2 linked regions of the Drosophila melanogaster genome follow. The protein of the gene in region 2 interacts with the protein of the main gene of each other region in a biochemical or structural test. Each region holds a gene or a part of one and is shown on either strand. Other genes may lie near its edges. The genes, in order: Gp150 and Ptp10D.

Evidence for each region.
Region 1: of the proteins of Ptp10D (region 2) and Gp150, one has a biochemical effect on the other in vitro, tested with the Drosophila melanogaster proteins (2 studies listed by BioGRID).

Annotation. Positions count from the first base shown.
Region 1 is NT_033778.4:22,321,246-22,329,122, reverse strand, and holds the start of Gp150 (Gp150), read right to left. Parts: upstream 6,221-7,877; 5' UTR 6,154-6,220; coding exon 6,098-6,153; intron 4,006-6,097; exon of another isoform or gene 3,949-4,005; coding exon 3,396-3,948; intron 3,341-3,395; coding exon 2,786-3,340; intron 2,728-2,785; coding exon 993-2,727; intron 931-992; coding exon 599-930; 3' UTR 1-598.
Region 2 is NC_004354.4:11,620,080-11,625,149, reverse strand, and holds the start of Ptp10D (protein tyrosine phosphatase 10D), read right to left. Parts: upstream 3,136-5,070; 5' UTR 2,965-3,135; exon of another isoform or gene 2,793-2,964; intron 1,398-2,792; exon of another isoform or gene 1,321-1,397; 5' UTR 1,048-1,320; coding exon 934-1,047; intron 1-933.

The sequences.
Region 1 (7,877 bases), on a different chromosome or scaffold from region 2:
CGCATCTAAAACTCTTACTACTTTCTGTTCCTCGCTCCTCGTTTCTTGTTCCTGACTTGACACTCAGTTTAGAAACCTTAATGTGTTTAAGTAATTTTCGCTCGGTTTGAATTTTGGCAAAATGGCACTAAATCTTCAAGTTGTTCCCGGATATGGACTAATTGGATACGGATTGTGGGCAGAGGTTTGATAAATTGCAAATCCGTTGCTTTCGAAACGGTTGCTCATCAAACGCGTTCTCTGAAAGCCCACCTCTGCTGTTGCCAAGGACCTTTGACTGGTCTTAACAGTATTTGATGGTACAGGATATTTCAAGGATAAAGGATTTTGTCAAAGATTTATTCTCTCTCTTTCAATCTCTTATTTGGATTCAAGTATTTTTTAGTTGTTGCTTTGTTTCCTCGCACTTTCGCTAATACTTTTAACTGCCACCTACTGCTCCTCCTCCTGTTTCTTACATTCTTGTGCTTGTGTTTAGTCAATTGTCTGATGTGATTTTCCACTTTTTCAACTATCAATATACTTATAAATTAGAAAAACAGCGCAACTCGTTCGATTTCCGCGGCCACCGGCCCGGAACTGCTGATTCTAGGTGGACTTAGACCTGATTGATGGGCGCGTATCGGTGCACCTTTGGCTGCTTCAGATGCTTGGGCTCCTTCTGCTCCTTGCTGGTCGGCTTCACGATGTCCTCGCTCAACTTCTGGTATACGAACGAGTTCTTTGAGGCCAGCAGCGCCATGCGATAGCGCTCGCCGCGCTTGCGCAGCACCACGTAGATCACTCGGGCGATGGACAGCACGATCATCAGGAGGCAGAAGGACACGACGATCAGTGGGACCACCAGGTCGTAGGATAGTTCGCCGTGGAAGATCATCTTCTCGGTGTACTCATCTGACTCCTCGCTTTCGCTGTCGAAGCCCAGTTTCTCTGAGAAGGTAAAACATACGATTGGAATACATTCCATCAACGAATGATTGGCTAAAACTTACCCAGAAGGAATTTATCACGGGTCTCCTGAGACATGTCCACTTCCTCCGCCTGGATACCATCGGTCTTCAGGACTGGCTTCAGTTCCTTGTTCACGAACGTGTCGAAGGCCTTGTTAGCATCGGCCTTAGCCTTGGCATTCTTCTTGGCCTCCTCGAAGCGATCATCATCGTTGTTGTCATCATCATCGTCCTCATCATCGTCATCATCATCCTCCTCACTGTCATAGTCACTGCTGTCATCCTCCTTATCCTCGCCGCCATTGTTCAGATTCTCCTCGTCAGCATCTTCCTCAGGCTTCGCGGTTTCAGTGTTCACCGATCCCTTCATGATCTTCTGCATGCTGCTCAGCCTGCTCTTGTCTAGCACACTCTTGTCCAGGACACTCAGCAACTTAGCCTCATCCTCGTTAAGCTTCTTCACGCTTTCCTTCAGACGCTTCTCCAGTTTGGCTTCGGCACTGTCGGCCTTCTTTTCGTCCAAGAGATCTGATCCTTCGGCATGCTTGCACACCTCGTGGGCCAAAGACGACCAACCAGCCTGAGCCAGAGTCTCCAGCTGCACAATAGTAGCATCGTCCTCCAGATTGGCCAGCACGGGCAGACGCTTGGGAGTCATCTGCATCTGAAGAGTGACGTAGCTGATGAACTCCTGGAAGTCGGGAGTGCACTTCAGCGGATTGTTGGTGATATCCAGAGAACGCAGGTTCTTGAAGCTCTTCACATCCTCCGAAGAGATCTTCTTGATCAAATTACCAGAGGCGTTAAAGGAGCGCAGGCTGTCAAAGATCTTGTAACCCGCACCCAAGTCGCGATCGGAGAGCAAGGTGGTAAGCTCGCAGTCATTGACGTCCAGGCATCGCAGTTGGTGCAGCGGCAGGAAGAGGCGGACGGACAAGCGGCTAATGGGATTTCCAGCCAGACTGAGCTTAGTCAGCTCTCCGTTGTCCATGAAGATCAGATCGTCCATGCGGGTGATCAGGTTGTTGCTCAGATCCAAGTCAATCAGCTTGTGCAGTCCAGTGAAAATCTCGCGCGGCAGATGATTAATGTTGTTCCAGGCCAACTTCAAGGTGGTCAAATGCGGCATAGTGGAGAAGGCCTTGTGACCCAATGGACCGATGGCGCAATTGGAAATATCCAGGTAGTAGACGGTGAACTCCCCACTGTAGCTCAAGAAGCCATCGGTGGGCAACTGGCTCAGACGAGGATTGTCGTTCAAACGGATCACATCCAGCTCAGAGTTCTTAAAGAACAGCATTCCCGAGATCTGGTCCAGATCGTTGATGGACAAATCGATGTGGCGCAGGTTCTTCAAAGTAAGGAACGAGTCCGGTTGGATCTTCTTAATGCCATTGCCCTTGAGGTTCAGGTTGGTCAGACCGGGCATCTTGTCGAACATGCTGTGGTGCACTTGGACAATCGAGTTAAAGCTCAAGTCCAGCTGCTGCAGATCCTTGGTGCCAAAGTGCAGATCGCCATTGAAGGTATTGTACTTCAGGTGCAGTATGGACAGGGTGGTGCCATTGAAGATATCGCGGGGCAATTCAGTCAGCGAGTTGTAAGACAGATCCAATTCTTCCAGAAGAGTAACCTTCTCGAAAGCCTTCTCGGGCAGTTTCTTGAGACTGTTCTGGCTCAAGTTAATGTAGACGACATTGGATAGATGGGAGAAGGCCTTGGGATTCAACTCCATAAGGTTGTTGCGCGAGAAGTCCAGCTCCTCAATGCTGGAAGACTGCAAAATTATAATTTATTAGCTGGATTTCAAGGTAAAGGTTTTTGAAATCACTCACCTTCAGCAAATAGTGAATGCTGGACATCACACTCAAGTCGTTACCCGAAATGGTCAGCATGCGCAGTTTCTTGTTTCCAACAAAGGTATCGGGATTAATGATAGCCAAACCAACATCCGTCAAGTTAACAGCGTACAGCTCGTTCAGTCCGTGGAAGGCCTCGGCGTGCAGGTACTCCAAGGTGCAGTTGGCGATCTTGATGGAAGCCACGTTCTTAAGACCCAGATTCTGGAAGAAGTTGGGTCCCATCAGGATGGGGTACTTAGGACCCACATTGGTCACAACCAAATCCGTAATGTCAGAGCCAAACTTCTGGATGCCCATGTCAAGTCTGCTGCAGGTGGCCACCAGATAGCTGTTGACATTCCGGGCACACTGGCAGAATCTTGGACACGGAACGTCCTCGCTGAAGACAACTTGCTCATCATCGGTCAAAAGGTCGTCAGCGGCATCGTCCTCGTCATCATCATCATCCAGACCCTCGTCGTAGTCATATTGAGAGTCGCTGTCGATATCGTTAGCACTCTCTTTGGTCTTTTGGTCGTTGGATTTGCTCTGTAAAGTACGAAAACATATTTATTTGAATTTAAGGATGATGGGGGAAGTATACCTTGGACTTCGTGATGGTGGCATCCACAATGGGCTGCAGCTTGGGGTTGCTCTTGGCCTTCTTGGGACTGGGGGAAATCGTCACCGTCTCCTCATCGAAATAGTTGTAATCATCATCGTAGTCATAGTATTCGCTATCGTCGGTATCGGTGGAGTTCTTCTCCCCGGCGGCGACGGTAGTATTGAGCATCTTGTTGAAGTGTGGATCATCAGCCAAAGCTTGGCTGTGCTTGGCCGCCTCCATCAGATCATTCCAAGCCTCCTCGCTAAGGGACTTCTCGGTGCCGGAGGACGTGGTTTTTTTTGTGGGGCTCCTGGTGGTCGTCTCCACGGGTAAATCCTTTACCTTGGGGGTGGAGATTTTGGGCAGACTCTCGGTCGGGCTCACCTCCTCTCCAGAGTTCAGCTCGTTTTCCGTCAGATCGTCATGAATGAAGTGGATCTTGGGGCCCACGGTATTTGAGTGGCTGGCGTGGATTAGGGCCAGGGTAAAGGCCAGCAGCAGGACTAGCCTGCAAGTCGACTGGCGACTCATTTTCCTGTAGATGGGCAAACTGAAATGGACCAGGAAATTCAACGTTATACAGTACAGTAATGGCCGCTTCTGAGAAAATGACAAAAACAGACGACTCACACCCAACGGGCCCTATCTTATCGCTAATTGCTGGAGCCAGATAAGTAGATATGCGTTTATTGAATCAACCACATTCTGGAGAGGTGGCCGAGCTCATGGCTGGTCTCAGAATGCGCACATTGTCCACCTATTTCCTTAAAAATCACCGATCTGCATGACGAAATGGTGAGCCAAGTTGACTGCCCCAATTAGCACATTGGCACCCGGAGAGTTGACATCATTTCGCATGCTAATTTAGTAGGTACACTACATTCGAATCGACGAATTTCCAAATGTTTGCTTATCGTTTAATGGCAATTGTTTTGCACCCCATATGATTCGCTGCGTATTTTCAACACGTTACTCAGAATCCAGTGAAAGCACAATTCGCACTACCGTATCCGCAAAGTACTTCCCTTATTGATTAGTACTGTATACATCATCTAACAGTAATGCATATGCCGAAAATAGTTTCTGGAGAATTGCTGACTCTCAATCTCGCGATTCGAGTTGGTCTGTCATCAACTGGAGCTTGTTTATTTGAGTTTCAGTTTGCTTGCCCTTTGATTGCACGCGACTGGTTTGGTTACCCTAACTAAACGATTGGGTAATCACATTGTGCTTTTTGGAATCGATTCGATATGAGGGAATCCCCACTGAGCGTTTCTTGACGCCGATTATGAACTCGTTTGCCAGCTCGCTGATTCTAAGAAATTCTCAAAACCAGACTGAAAACTCGACGCTCTCCAGGTCTCTTATGCAATTTACGTAGTTTTGGAATGCATTTTCCACCCATTCGATGCGGATTCCATGGCGGATGGCCCTATTGAAAGACCGCCTGTGTTTGCCTTCGTTTTCATGGCAAAGCAAACACATAATTCGAGACCGTGGCTCGCCGAGTGGTAAACAAAGAGCTTTGGGTATTATTGCTTTTCGTAACCAGGCAAACGACCCGGGATCGCGAGAGATCCGACTCCGCCAGCAAAGTGTAAAATGCAAAATGCGCAGTTAAGGCGGCCAGAATAGATCGCATTTATCCAGCCAATACACAGTATGGCGGCTATGGGAACATATGTGCGCACATATCGTATGTTAGAGCATTTCATTAGACCCCACAGCAAACCGCTTAGCAGCCAGCTCCGCGTTGCGAGTGGGTGTCAGGTTGACTGGGAGCCTGACACAAGCGCGAAGGGAAAACTGCAGTCTCGAGATCGCATTAAACGTGTTTAGGTCTCTCGGCTAACACATTTCATCGAGTCAAGAAAGACAGCGGTTTTTGGCTCGCTTGAAATTGGCTTTGGCTTTAGCTTTGGCCAAGGCGCCGCCGACACTCCGACCATAATTAATTCCATTTCTGTCATTGCAGCGATATATGTATGTATATATGTCTGTATACACAGATGTCCGCTTGAACTGGGCTATACGAGGGTAGACTCTGTTCAAGTTTAGAGAGAAACCGGTAACTGGCACTGGCACTGGCCATACTTGTACATGTATGCAAATACGTTTTCCACTCGGAAATTCGTGAGTCAGCCAATTCATCATATTGCTGCGGCTATCTACAGCTGTAAAGATTAGACTAGTCGGGATATATCCAATCGGTAAGCCCCATCCCTCCATTGATCTGTCTCCCCCGCCAGTAAATAAAAATCTATAACTGAGTGCTTTGTAGTGTCGTGCATCTAATTAACGTCCAGCTAATGGGGAAATGCTTTCCTGAAACTGTTTCTAGAACACTTTGACATTCGATCGAGATAAACCCTGATCTGGCCCTGTCATACATAATGGCCCCGTACTTAACGTAACCCGATACGGAAACACTTTGGATCGCTTCGTTTAAAGGCACACTTCCACAGAGTATCAGAGTATCGCCTAACAAAATGATTTCGAGTCTTGATACAAGACACGATTTGTTTAAACGTAAACCTCTATTCAATTTATTAGTATATTTTGATTTGGCTCCATTGGTTGTCTTTCGGTTTTTATCAACTGGTTCACAGACGGTTGGCATGTGGTCGGTTTTGTCAACAGATTAGAATTATAAACGCTTCCCATGAGACCCGCCAACCCACATTTAAGTATCAAGTTACCCAGAAATGTCATGTGGATTGGAGAGCAGATGGGGCCCGGTTATCAAATTGTGCATGGGTGCGTCGTCGATCGGAAATTGGAAACTGGGTGCGACCCTTGGGCAGTCAATATACCAAGTATATGCCCGAAAAATATCTGCATTCCTCTGGGTAGAGAGATCCCGTTGATTAGCAAGGTTGGCTAATGAACCTCGAACTCAGGTAGTTTCGCCTTGATTCCGTCTTACGATCAACACAAATGTGTCTCTGGCAAATACCAAGAAATACCCAAAATAATGCGATCATGAGTCTGTGTGCGTGGGCAGATAGTGATTGAGATGTCTGGGTAAAAATAGCTGGCGTTAACAGGAAGTGAAACGAGAGAAACGGACGTGTAGGTAGAATATTGCATTTTTTCGGGAACTTATGTGTCCCCTTTAAAGGATATCGATTCATGGAAAGAGTGGAGGGACAGGCGAAACGGAAATGCCTCAGCTGATGCCTTCATTAGGGTGGCTCAAGCCAATTTCATCCGGCTTTAAATCTGCGGATCACGACATCGTCAAATTTGTTGACCGATTCATTAGCATCACGAGTTGCTGCGGATTTTGACGATTTACGATTGTTATTTCTGCTAGAAAATACACCACTGGCCAACTGCTCAGATATAACATTTCCATCTATATATCATAGTGTATCCCACTCGGTTGAAGCCATTCTGGAATATAATTTCTGCAACGTTAATTTTTTGCAGCCAGGCAGACAGGCAGTACAATGGACAAAATTGCCCAAGGCGTGCACATAAAAAATAAACACAAAAGTATAAAAAATGCCGACATTTGACCACACAGACTAACACGCAGTTGGCACAAAAGGTTGGTACAAAAAGGGGGAAACTGTTGGCTCACAAAGATGGCCAGACTGGTTTTTGGCTGGAAACTGCCACTCGAACTCGGAGCAGATGTGTGAGCCAAGTTAGCCCGGTGGCAGCCAAAAGTCAGGCAGATGACTTTACCAGTTACGAAAAATTCTTGCTAAAAGCCATTTCAATTCGCTCAAACTCAAACATTTCGAAAGGGAATTTCTAAATAATAACCGATGGTGTCACGTTCGAGTTGCTTGAACTCTTCGCACCGAATGTGCTCTATTACAATCAAAATAAAGTCGTTAATGTTTACGTAAATAGTTTAATCGCAATGACACTTTGTAGTGTCTAGTGTGTACATATTGTCTGTAATACTATATGTAGTATATAGTGAGAAGTGTCATAATCAATTAAAATTGCTATTCGATTATAGGAAATCGATTAGCTTATCTAAGAAGGTCACTGGAGCTTAAAAGAGACGCGTACTTGCCAAGTCGGCAAACTAATTACACTTCAGGGTAAAATTTTGCAGCAGCTGCAAGTTCGTGTGAGCGAAACGACATTTCTCAGTTAAGACCTTTTCAAAATTTATCGCGAAGTAATGCCTTCTGATCGATCGGAAATAAAATTGCACCTTGTGTGCTGCATTTTAGTCGATAAAGTGCATTTGCTGTTATCTGAGGGAATTCCCTGCATGGGAATTCAGTGATTAAAACTCCATAAATTGATTTCAGCCATTCGAATCCGAGTTTTATGCCTGCTTCCTCGCCTTGCCAGCAATTGCCCTTTGTTTGGATCGATCGGTGCACCGTATATATAGCCCTGAATCTGAAGCAGGAAGCGTAACATAAATTAAGAACTTAAGGAGGTGGTGCAAATGAGAAACCGGCTTTCACCTGGCGGGGGCGGTTCATTAGCGATATCTGTATCGTATTT
Region 2 (5,070 bases):
TATATTCAGATATTTACCCATAAAGTATAAAGTTTATGAAAATTGAATTCGTGCAAAAGTGCAACAGTGAAAAACCTAATTAGGAAAATTGCCAGCCTTATCGATTGCATCACTCAGCTGAGTTGCACACATCGAGGAATCGGCAATGCAATTACTTATTATGCAACACAGCTCGAAGTATCAATTAAAAATGCCAGGCATGCAAAGTATTTAGACAAATTCCTTGAAACGAAAATATAACTATCTGTTAAGTTTGTTATATTTAATTATTCTGAGTGTACAGGGTATAAATATGTCATCATCTTCTGTTAAATGCATTCTACTTCATATCTGCACAGCACACGACTTGAGATGCAAAATGCAAAATCTTGTTCGGTTATTGTTTGTTACTCTTGCTTTTGTTTGTTGTTTCCTCAAGGTCTTTGATCGGATTGGAGTTTGTTTGTTGCTTTGTTTGTTTGTTTGTTTTTAGTACTGTGTCCAGTGAGGCAAATACATTCGCATAAACAATGGCGAAAAGCAAACACGATGCGAAATAATTGAATTTAATTAACATGGGAAAGACCACAGACAAAAGTGACGAAGACGATGATTTCCATGTGGGCGGTTTAATTCGAGGCGGGGGCGGGGTCGTCACAAATAAATAATTAAATAACTTCGGACAATGTTTGCAGAACCTTGTCGTTTCGATAGCCCTCGAATTTAGAAAGTTATTTGTGCACATTTCGAGGTTATTGTTGTTTATCATATCTTTTGAACTCCTATCTAATTTTGCATATTTCTCTTGTATTGATGTATCCTGAATAATTATTATTATTATCCTGAATAATCGTTTCTCCCAAGCTAAGATTCCGAAACGGGTAATTCGACGGGCCTATAAATCCACCCGCTATTGTGTGTTTTGGCCATGTTTTTGTTGGCCCTCTCGCTTACCTTTAGTGTAAATGCTGCCAGAAATGCTAAACTCCAGAGCCAGCGATGTTGTGGAACGGCTTTTTGCCTTTTGAGCCGGATTCTAGTAGTGGCTTTACTTAGCTGGTACAACATTTTGGGGCCGTCGTTTTGCTGTTTTCGTTGTTGTTTTCCTCTCCGCCTGGCTCTCTTTTGTTGCCTGCTTCTTGTTTTATTTGTTCCTATGTTGTTGTTGCTTTGGACTTTGCAATTTATTGTGCGATTTTTGAATTGGGCTTTTCGCTAGTTTCTTTCGAATTCGGGCATTTTTAGCGCGAGTTTAGTCTTTACTTTGATTAAATGCATTGTTTTCACAGTTTTCCCGTTAGTGTGGTGAAATTTTGTAAATTTTTATCCTGAATCCAATTGCTTGCAATTTGTTGGTTTAATTTGAATTGATTAAAACATATTCTTGTTTTGTTTTTGTTTGTTTTTTATTTTGTGATCTGCAAGAGAGTATGAATTAAAAATAACTGAAAGAGTGATCGCAAGAGGGAGACAGCTAGATAGTGCCGCTGTCCTGCTCTCTACCTGCTCTGCTTCCTCTTCTGCTTATCCAACACTTTGCGCTTGCGCCGAAAGCTTCAGTTCCTATTTTTTCATATTTTTCTGCGACTTGTTTCTATATTTCTGCACAGTGGAACTAGGCAAATGCAAATTTGATTGAACATTTGAGATTTAAAAACCACTGTTAAGACTTTGCTTAATAAATCAATATCAATTATTTTACTTATCTAGCAGTAAAGTATAATATTGAAATACCCGTTCTACTTAAGTTTTCATTCCTGGAACTGTGTGATTAAGCAATGCATTAAATTCATTTAAATCTAATTCGCAGACAAGTGCTAATTAATTGCACTGTCTTGTGCAGTTGCAAAAAAATACTGCTGATCAATAATTTAGCCTGCGCTGACGTCATTGAAATATTTAAAATATCGCAGCCAGCAAAAAAACCAAATAAATATGAAGAACAAATAAAACTAAACGTCTGAAAACCAGTTTTGCGAAATCAAAACGATACACGGCACAAAATTCAAATTGTATTGACAAGTATCATATCTTCTGGAAAATTAAAGATGTTGTCCTTGTATCTTTTGAATAGACTTGTAATGAATTGGTAATCCTGCTGTAGGACTAATTTAATTTAGGAGTTCCCTTTTAAGCTACTCTAATTTTGTTCTGTGTATGTTTTGTTATTGTTGCACTGTCTTGTTGTTGCTTTCTGCGCTTGGCAACGTTGTCATGCAGAAAAGACCTTCAACTTTGTTGCAAAGAGAGGAAGACAGAAGAAGAGCAGAGCAGATTGATTTGATTGATCTTTTTCCTTCTGGTCGAGAGAGAAGAGCAAGAGAGAGAGAGAGGGAGAGAGGGAGAGAGAGAGCTTTATGATCTCGGCACATAAAACACAAAAACAAAACAAGTTTTTAAAAACGTATTTCTTCACCTCTTATTTATTGTTAAATGTGGGACAAGTTTTTTTAATGCGACTGGAAATTTTTCGCAACTTATTGTCAGCATTAATAGAGATTTTATGAAACAAGCCAAAATGATCCCCCAAAATTGAATGCCGTCAGAGAAACAGGAAGTGGAGAAATTTGCCGCACAACAACAAAATATTCAAATGAGGCTGCGTGTGAAAGAGAGAAAGCAGCGGCATGCCAAAAAACGAAATAATACATAAAAAAGCTGCGTAGGTGTTGCTTCTACCTCTCTCGCTCTGTGTCTGTCTGCCCCCCTCGGCCAACATTTTTTGTTATTATTATTGCACACACATACACACACACACACAAACAACTCTCAATTTCTGCTTTTACTTTAAGCTTTATTTCAGCATTTCTTACGTTTTCCACTGCGTTTTTCTCAAATTTTGCTCATTCGGCACGCCACTAAAAAAAACCAAAACATTTAAATATATACACCGTTAATTTGTGTATTTTATTTACTTCTATTCTGTTGTTGTCGTTGGTTATAAAAAAAATAACAAAAAACAAACACAGGCGCACGCACACTTACACGTACACGCAGGCACGCGACGCAAAGCACAGACACAAGAAAAAAGCGGAACGGACAATCGACAAATTTTGCGTTTTTCGAGCGTTTGCTTTGCGGCCCGCCTTAACAGATTTCGCGTCCGTACCGTCCGCACTCCGGTTCGCTCTTCACCACACTGAATTGGAATCTGATTCAAATCGGATTCGAGTCCGGAGTCGAATTTGGAATCGGAATTGGAATCGGAATCGGAATCGCCAACGCTCGTTTCACCTGTAGAGCTGGACAAATAATCGATGACCCAGCGATGGTATCGATAGGAACCTGCGCGGCTTCTATGTTTCGCTTGTAACTGTCAACTATTTAAAAGCAGAATTAACCATTACTTTGCTGCGCGGTTATAAAATAGTTAAATACAATTAAATTTGTTGCACTTGATTCTTTTTAACGTGAACCAAGCATTGCGGCAGTAGTACTTCGGCCATTACAAGTCCGAGCTCCGTAATTCTTATTATTCAATTACTCACACAAAATGTTAGTCCAAATGGACATCTGAGCCATGGGCTTAGTGAGCCAAGGCGATAGGCTGTATATGTGTACCCAGACAGCATGCACAGCGAAATGTTAACAAAGAAAACATTTAATATTTTATTATTTATCCCGCGCAAAACCGATCTGACCAAACTCAAGGTGTTTTTTGTTTCCGAATGCAATCGATTATAATCGATAGTTCAAACTCACCTCTGAGGGGAGTTAATTCGCCGTTATTCGGCTGCAATGCGTGCGCGCAAGGCAGATATAATGTGGCGCGCATTTCAAATCAGCTTATAAAAAAGTGTAACATTCCAACTCCTGAAAATAGGAAGTAACTTCATTGATTGAAAACACTTCCATCTTCTTTTATATAATTTATTATTTATTAAGGTTTCATTTGCATGAACTGTTACTGGTTATTATAATTAATTATTGTTAATTACAGGCTATGTTTTAATTGCTAGAGATTAGCAAGTTCTAAAAATTACATTACACATTATTATTCTTATACAGAGTATACCTCTTGACATTTGACATTACAGTTAAAACTAAATTACTAAAAAAAAACAATTCAAACTTTCATTTTTATTTGGACATATAACAACGCAAGGAAAACAAACAAAAATTAAATGAAAGGATAAGCCAAAAGTGTTTAAAGAGCACAACTCGTTTGAACAAACACTGAACGATTCGCTGGGGAATTAGCATTGGACTTTTAATTTAATTACACACTAGACAAACCGAGTTATAATTAAAAATACAAACAAAAAATTGAGCTAAACGAAAAGTTAATAGCATATATGTATGCATACATTTATAGCTAGAGGAATTTCGCTATAAAACAAAAAATAACGAAACGTGTTCCCCCCCGCCTCCCGCCTTCTCTGCGCCCATCACCAACCGCCGTTCCCCCAAACCCCCCGAAACCACCCACCGCCTCATATTTACCACTAGAACCACTTGGCCGAAAAAAAAATCATATATTCCCTCCGATACGCCGGTGATAAGAACGCAACGCCAAGGACAATGGCAAAGGCTTTGATAACAGGTCGGAGCGAGATGGGAATATGTCTCGCTCCCTTTCTGTGAGTATTGAACTACAGCCAAACTTCGCTAGTACGAACTTCAAAAACACTTTGAAATTTCAACTTAATCATATTTTGTCCAGTAGACATTATAGAAGTGTAACATAGATCAATTAAAATGATTATATTGTATTTAGCGGATTGGATTTTGGATGACAAACTTTTTTTTTAATTTTGAACACATTTGTAATAACTACAAAGTTTATAAGGATATGGATTTGGGGTATGCTTATATGCTTTGTAAAGTTCCCAAAATTAAAACTGTTGAAAAATAAAGCTGCGCCTGGAAGTGTTTTTATAGATTACAAAGGGATATCGAAGGAGATTTGTGATATAAATATATATACATAAATATATATATATAAAAATAATATGCTATTCTTCATAAAATAAAAAACCTTTAATAAAGTCTCCAATTCTGAGACTGAAGAGTTTGACTTGGATTAGTTTGACTGTACATATGTAGTCCTCTTTCTTTCTTCGAGCGAGACGGCAAAACTAAAAGCGAGCG